Rattus norvegicus: one gene and its partner. The protein of the gene in region 1 purifies or fractionates together with the protein of each later gene. This does not show direct contact. Links are inferred from orthologs where the notes say so. Each region holds a gene or a part of one and is shown in the gene's direction. Other genes may lie near its edges. The genes, in order: Asxl1 and Ogt.

The links.
Region 2: the proteins of Asxl1 (region 1) and Ogt purify together in Homo sapiens (affinity purification with mass spectrometry; 3 studies listed by BioGRID and IntAct, with this or other methods). This does not show direct contact. The link is inferred for Rattus norvegicus from reciprocal best matches to the Homo sapiens genes ASXL1 and OGT.

What each region holds. Positions count from the first base shown.
Region 1 is NC_086021.1:162,283,520-162,287,340, forward strand, and holds part of Asxl1 (ASXL transcriptional regulator 1), read left to right. Parts: intron 1-1,122; coding exon 1,123-1,231; intron 1,232-3,821.
Region 2 is NC_086039.1:70,814,313-70,818,133, forward strand, and holds part of Ogt (UDP-N-acetylglucosamine--peptide N-acetylglucosaminyltransferase 110 kDa subunit), read left to right. Parts: coding exon 1-147; intron 148-926; coding exon 927-1,170; intron 1,171-3,821. UniProt on the Homo sapiens protein: Catalyzes the transfer of a single N-acetylglucosamine from UDP-GlcNAc to a serine or threonine residue in cytoplasmic and nuclear proteins resulting in their modification with a beta-linked N-acetylglucosamine (O-GlcNAc).

The sequences.
Region 1 (3,821 bases):
AAATTCAGAGATTACCCTGCCTCTACCTCCGTCTCTCATGCTGAAAGTAAAGGCGTGCACCATTACTCTCAGCCGAGAAAACTCATTTGTAATAGTAAAAGTTTTGTTGTTTTGAGAAAGGGTTTACCTGTGTAGCCCTGGCTATCCTGGAACTCACTCTGTAGACCAGGGTGGCCTCAAACTCAAATATCTGCCTGCCTCTATCTCCTGAGTTCTGGGATTAAAGACATGTATGTGCCCAATGTAAAATTTATTACATTGTATTATGTTTCAGTTTTTGAGCAGATTCTCATAATATAGACCAATATGGCCTGAAACTATGAAGTTCAGACTTTGGCCTCCTTACTCAGCTTTTTTTTTTTTTTTTTCCCTCTCGGAGCTGGGGACCGAACCCAGGGCCTTGCGCTCGCTAGGCAAGCGCTCTTCCGCTGAGCTAAATCCCCAACCCCCTTACTCAGCTTTTTGAGGGCTGAGGTTATATGAATGAACCAGCGCACCTGGCTAAGATAGGTGCTCTAACGTTTGTTAACATATGACTTGGAAATTTTTTAATTTTTAATTTGTCTATACTTAGATACCCTGGAGGCCAGAAGAGGGCATAGGGATTCCTTGTAGCTAACACTGTTAACAGGTTGTGAGCCACCCAGCATGGATGCTGGGACTCGAACTCTGGTCCTTTGTGAAAGCAGCCAGCAGACTCTTGCTTTTTGTTTTTCTTGTCTTGAAGACAGGAGACAGGTTTCTTCACTCTGTAGACCAGATTGGTCTCAAATTCAGAGATCGGCCTCTCTCTGGTCTCCTAAATACTAGAATTACAGGTTTGTGCCACCATACCTGGCTTATACCAAGCACTTTAACTGCTGAGTGGTCTCTAAGTATTTTAGAGCTTGGTTGTGTTGTCAGGAAACCCACAGATGTGCTGGTGCGTGTTCTGAACTGTTGAGTGCACCACAACTGGACTTGAGTTGTTCGTCTCCCCGTGCTCTCATAGTCGTCTGTGCAGTCATGGCTTCTGCTTTGATTGCTTCACTTCTTGGTTTGGAAAGGAATTCGAGGGTGTTTGGACATTGGCTAAGGAGACACAACTTCTGTGATCCATTTCCCTCCTTTCATCTTTTACAGTGGGACATCCCCCCTCGCGTGCCTCAATGCCATGCTACATTCCAACTCAAGAGGAGGAGAAGGGCTATTTTATAAATTACCTGGCCGGATTAGTCTTTTCACACTCAAGGTAAAATTAGTTTTCAGTGCAATGGTCCTCAAAGCTTTGTGCATAAAACCTGGTGGGTTTGCAATGATGCTGGTGGATTGATGTCTTTCCTAATATGCAGTCAGATAACACTAATGTTTGGTCCTTAACGGTGCTCTGAGATGCTGTAGTCTTATAGACTATTAGGAGTTACTAAGTTATATCACCTGTGTTTCTGTGTTCAGCTTTGCTTAGTAGATTCTATGCAGTTGAAATGTGTGTGTAGTGATAATTACAGATGTGCCTTAGTAAGGTTTTTGTTTGTAATAATACTGTCAGGGATAAAATTACTGTGCAACTAACGTACCTGCTCTGTGGAAAGGAACCAAAATGTGCGTATCAGAATATACTAAAACACTAGTTATAAAGGAGTAGTTCATAATAAGCCTTATTTGCTGAAATAAATAATTATTTTCTACCATTTCTGATATATTTGGCTGTCATTTAGATCACAGTCTGAAAACTCTTGTATGAAGGGCTGATACAAATAATTGAGATTTTGTTGACCTAGTGGCTCTGTCAAAATAGCCATCTCTCATCTCATGCACATGCACACTTTTTCTAAGAAGAGGTGTAATGTATAGTAATTTTTATTGCTTTGTCTTCTATTTCATAGACTAGTTTTCTTTTAGAGACTTACTTTCTTTGTAGTATAGTCTGGCCTTGAACTCTTGATTGCTCAAAGTGGCCTAAAACATGTGATCCTTGTGCTTTTGTCATACTAGTACTGGGATTACATGGGGTTGTCACCATGCCTGGCTTTACAATGTTGCAAATATGGAAAAACAAAGAAAGAAGGGCTGGAGGGATGCTTCAGTGGCTAAGAACACTGACTGCTCTTGTAGAGAACCAGCACTTGATTCTCAGCACCTATGTGGTCCCTCACAACCTTCTGTAACTTAGTTCCAGGGGTTCTAGTACCTTTTTCTGACCTCCGTGGGTACCAGGCGTGCATATGGTGTGTGGGCATATAGGGAATGCACACATAAAATGAATAATAATAAAGCATTAAAAGAAGGAGTACTACTGTACTTACACAGCCATACATTTAAAAAAGCACCTTTTGGAGTTGGGGATTTAGCTCAGCGGTAGAGCGCTTGCCTAAGAAGCGCAAGGCCCTGGGTTCTGTCCCCAGCTCCGAAAAAAAGAACCAAAAAAAAAAAAAAAAAAGGCACCTTTTTGGGGGAATTGGGGAGATAGCTCAATAGGTAAAAGCAGTTGTTTAATCATGAAGTTTGGAGTTCAAATCCCTAGCACTCAGGGATTTGAAGTGTGGTGGTGTGGGCAATAGGACAGATGCACCACTCCTCATAGAAGCTGGTCTTGACTGGGCAAAGTGGAAGAACTGGCTCTGGTGACTGGTGGCATGGGGTACAGGAGTGCTGGTGGACTGATTAAAGCAGCTACCACCCAGGCCTAGATCCAGAGCTTTGAGTTAGCCCATCTCTATATCTTCCCCATCTGCGAACTGTTGAAACTTGTGAAGGAGTTGGTCCTGCAGAAACAAAGCTGCAGGACCTCACATGGGGCAAGGGCAATAACAGGATATCCTAGAGGAGTCCTGGTGAGGGACCAGAGGCCCCGAACCAGACCAATGACGTACTGTAATGAACTGAACATTTACAAATAAAGCTATGTGGACAAAAGGATTTATTGTGTGGTACACTATAGCTTCCATGAGATACTTTTTGGTTTTGTTTTGTTTTTTTTTCCTTGGTGGGGGGGGGCATTGCAGGGGCAGAGGGTGGGTACAATAGGATAATAAATGAGTGGGATTGGGGTACATGATGTGAAATTCACAAAGAATTTGTGGGGAGGGGAGGATAGCTCAGCGGTTAAGAACACTGACTGTTCTTCCAGAGGTCCTGAGTTCAGTTCTCAGCAACCACATGGTGGTTCACAACCATCTCTAATGGGATCGGATGCCCACTTCTGGTGAGTCTGAAGAGAATGACAATGTGCTCATATACATAAAATAAATAATTCTTAAAAAAAAAAAACCAAAATACAAAAAACTAAGCGTGACTTGAATGTCTGCCTGTTTAACCCCAACACTTGGTTGGGTTAGAGACAGGAAGATGATTGGGGCTTGTTGCTACAAGATTAATGAGAAACTGGATCTTGAGAGAATGACATGGAAAGTGATAACGCAGAACAGGTTCTTCTTTGGCCTCTCCGAGGCCACCTGAACACAGTGTGTCTATAGTTGTATTCAAGCATAACACACAGTGAGCAGTTAGGAGGGGAATGTCAGTTCCCTTGCAGTTTTCATTAGAGGAAAAAGCAAAGGGGGGGGGGTAAATTAGATAATTGATGCTTTCTTTTTGGGGTTGGGATACTGTTTTATTTATTTTTTGAGACAGGGTTTCTCTTTGTATCCGTAGTTGCCCTCAAACTATCTAGATTAGGCTGGCCTGGAATTGAGGAGTCTACCTGCCTCTGCTCCTAAGTGCTGGCTTAATTGTTGCATTCTTACAATGTTAGAACTACAATCGAAATTTATATAACTCGACTCCATATTAGCAGCTCAGAATTACTGATGTATCATTAAATACAAAGGAAAGACTGAGTA
Region 2 (3,821 bases), on another chromosome or scaffold:
AGCTGAGTTGGCACATCGGGAATATCAGGCAGGAGACTTTGAGGCAGCTGAGAGACACTGCATGCAGCTCTGGAGACAAGAGCCTGACAATACTGGTGTTCTTTTATTACTTTCATCTATACATTTCCAGTGTCGAAGGCTGGACAGGTAGGAGATGTCGGGGTAACCTGCCTCTTGGTGCTGAGTTTAAAAAAACGATAATTAAATATTTGAACTTCACAGATTTTCAATGCTGGGTTTCATCTGAGCCACCAATGCACACAGGCTCTTTTGCTCACGTTTGGCATGCCTAGCTGCTAGTTCTCCTCACCCTCCCACCCCCTCCCCATTTTGCTGGGGCGAGCATATTATCTGTATGACTAGGGTCTTTTCTCCCAGATTCTATCACTTGGGTTATATTCTTTTCAGGTAATTATTCTTAGTGTACATCTGAGCATCCAGACCCGTCAGTTTGAGGGACTCTGGTAGGAGGGGCATATGTAGCAGATTGGAAATAGCCCTCATTAAATTGTTATTGCTTTTAGCTAATTAATTGAATTAATCAAAAGAAGAATTTGTGCTGTGGATCTTTTAATAAATTATCATTTTGGCATACTTAGGCATTTATAGATCTGTGTCTTTAAATCTTGCCAACAAATGGAAAACGAGACATGCACTTTTTTTTTAATCTTAATAATCATGTTATACAATGGCAGTTTGGTAATAGATTCTAATAAGAATTTTCTTACATAAGAATCAGATTTCTTATATGAAATCTTGATACTCTCACCTAAGGAAAGTTTTAGTTTTCAAACTTTTCTCTTGTGTGCTAGTTAAAGGATAATGTTTCATAGTACAGGATGTTCAGGAACTGTTAAGTTGCATATGACCATGCCTCCTTTTCTCTAACACGCATATCCATGCACCAACACTTTCTACTTTTCCAGATCTGCTCACTTTAGCACCTTGGCAATTAAACAGAATCCCCTTCTAGCAGAAGCCTATTCGAATTTGGGAAATGTATACAAGGAAAGAGGGCAATTACAGGAAGCAATTGAGCATTATCGACATGCTTTGCGGCTCAAGCCTGATTTCATTGATGGTTATATTAACCTGGCAGCAGCCTTGGTAGCAGCAGGTGACATGGAGGGAGCAGTGCAAGCATACGTCTCTGCTCTTCAGTACAATCCTGTAAGTAAACATTTCTTAGTTTTCCTTTCACAGCAATCCAGAAAACAAACAAGCATCATTTGATATTTCAGATAATAGTTTTTTTCATGATAGTCAAGAGTTGAGAGAGATGTTTATGTACTTGAAATGATGAAATTGCTTTGACTTGGTCTGCATGACATAAAAAAAAAATCCATCCCATTTAGGAAGTTAAAAAGCATAAAAGTTATCTTTATAAAAAAATTCCATCAATTTTTTTGTAATGCTAATTATAGCTTAAGACACATTTTTGTGTGCTTGGGTGCTGTTTTGATGAACTTTGAGTATTTATAGCAGTTAATTGATTTTTTAAGGAATGATGGGTTAAAGGTCTTAATCTGTAATATAAATTTTTTTTTTCTTTTTTCTTTTTTTCGGAGCTGGGGACTGAACCCAGGGCCTTGCGCTTCCTAGGCAAGCGCTCTACCGCTGAGCTAAATCCCCAACCCCTAAAAATTTTTTGAAGGTACTAGATATTAGTGACATGAAATCTAGACTACCGGGGTTGGGTTGGGGATTTGGCTCAGTGGTAGAGCGCTTGGGCCCTGGGTTTGGTCCCCAGCTCCAAAAAAAAAAAAAAAAAAAAAAGAAATCTAGACTACAAAATGTTCTCAATACATCCACCTCAATATATTTATAAGTAGTAGAATTGGGTAATTGCAGATCTAGACCAGATTTTGAATTAGTTCTTTAATTCTTCTTAAATCTAAAGTCGCATGCGTTTTCGGAGAACAAGTATTAGAGTCTGTGAAAGATCAAAATATAGTGTATGAAACAAAAAAATTAAATTTAAAATGCTACAGGGATGTAAAACTTGCCCCGGAAACTGTTGATGTACTGAAGGGAGAGTGTCTGTAAGCTTTTAAGAGGTAAGTGGTAGGCACAGGGATGGGTCTTGGCAGCATAAACTTGAGGTCTCAAGTTGACATGGAGTGTGGAATCACCCTGGAAGTGCTTAATGATTAACTGGTACAACTGCCATTCTCAAAAGTCTTCTACAGGCTCAGATACTACTGCTTCAGAAAAAGGCCTCAGTGAGTTTTAGCATGATCCTTTGGTGAAGATGGCATTATTTCTAGTTTTGCCAATAATAAAAACCCTAGTAGACTTTGGGTTATGTAACTTTGAGATCACATAGCTAGTTAGCAGTGGTGAAGTGGATGTTGAAATTTGAAGTTGAATTATCAAAGCAAATTTGGACATGAATGAAAAATGAAAGCTAAAAAGCTTAAAAAAAAAAAAGCCTTCTTTGCCCCAAGGCAGCCATTGAGCCCAGCCTGGAAAACATTAGACATAAGAAGCCTGAGTCTTGACTCCAATTTTATAGTTTAGGAAACTGAAGCTTATTTTAGTAGTTTTCCAGATGATCATTTTTTTTTTTTTTTTGGTTCTTTTTTTCGGAGCTGGGGACCGAACCCAGGGCGTTGCGCTTCCTAGGCAAGCGCTCTACCACTGAGCTAAATCCCCAGCCCCCAGATGATCATTTTTTATCTGAATATCTTTTTAGCAATTATTTTTAAAGTTAATTTTGAAAAATAAAAAAATCCTATTTTTATTTCAAAAAGGTAAAAATCACTCTGGAATGGCTCTTTTAACTTTATAGATGTTCTTTGATATGTATAGACTGAGTCAGGGCAAGTGCTCCTTTTAATGGCTACCTTAGTTCAACTACATGGTGCTTTTGTTTGTGAATTCATATATAAAAAGTGCTTTTTATTCATTGCTTTTTTCTAGTGACAAATTGCATAGACTTGGAGACAGTGAAAGTAATTTGTGTGTTCTTTCAAATATTCAGTGTATATTTGAAATTAGAGTGTATTTGTAATTTTTAGTTTTAGACTGCTAACCTTGAATGTCCTCCGTGTGGGGCTTGGACTTGCTTCTTCCTAAGGTACAAGTCTTTTTCTTGTGTGCCCAGTTGTCACAGGATAGTACATTCTTTTCCTTTAGTAATCAGGGTTTCATCAGTCCTTTACTCGTTGACTGTGCAAACTTCAGCTTTGCTCTCTTGCCTCCATAGTTGTAATCTTGGTTAATTTTACTCAGTTAATTTATTTTGAGAGGGGATCTTATGTACGTCATTTGGCCTCCAACTTACTAAATAGCTGAGGATGACCTTGAAAAACTTATTTTCCTGCCCCTGCTTGCCCAGTACTGAGATGGTGCTATATAGTATACCACCATGCCCAGTTTACTGCAGATAGAACCCGGACTTCATTGCACATTAGATAAGTACTTTTCCATCTGAGCTAGATTCCCCAGGACCCTGGCTCAGGTTTTTACTTGCTTGTCTGTGTAATAGAGCAGTTTTAACTTTGCTGACAATATAGTGCAGGATTCTATTGAGAAGGGAAAATTAAAGTGAGAGACAAAGCCATGCTGCTTTCTTTCTTTTTTTTTTTTTCTTTTTCTTTTTTTCCGGAGCTGGGGACCGAACCCAGGGCCTTGCGTTTGCTAGGCAAGCGCTCTACCACTGAGCTAAATCCCCAACCCTGCCATGCTACTTTCTAAATATATGCTATATATAGTTTATATTATTAAATATCTTACCTATTAATGAAACTTAGTGTCATGTAATTCCAAAGAAGCAAGATAGTACTAAACAATTTCTTGTTTGCACTGGTGTCTCTCTT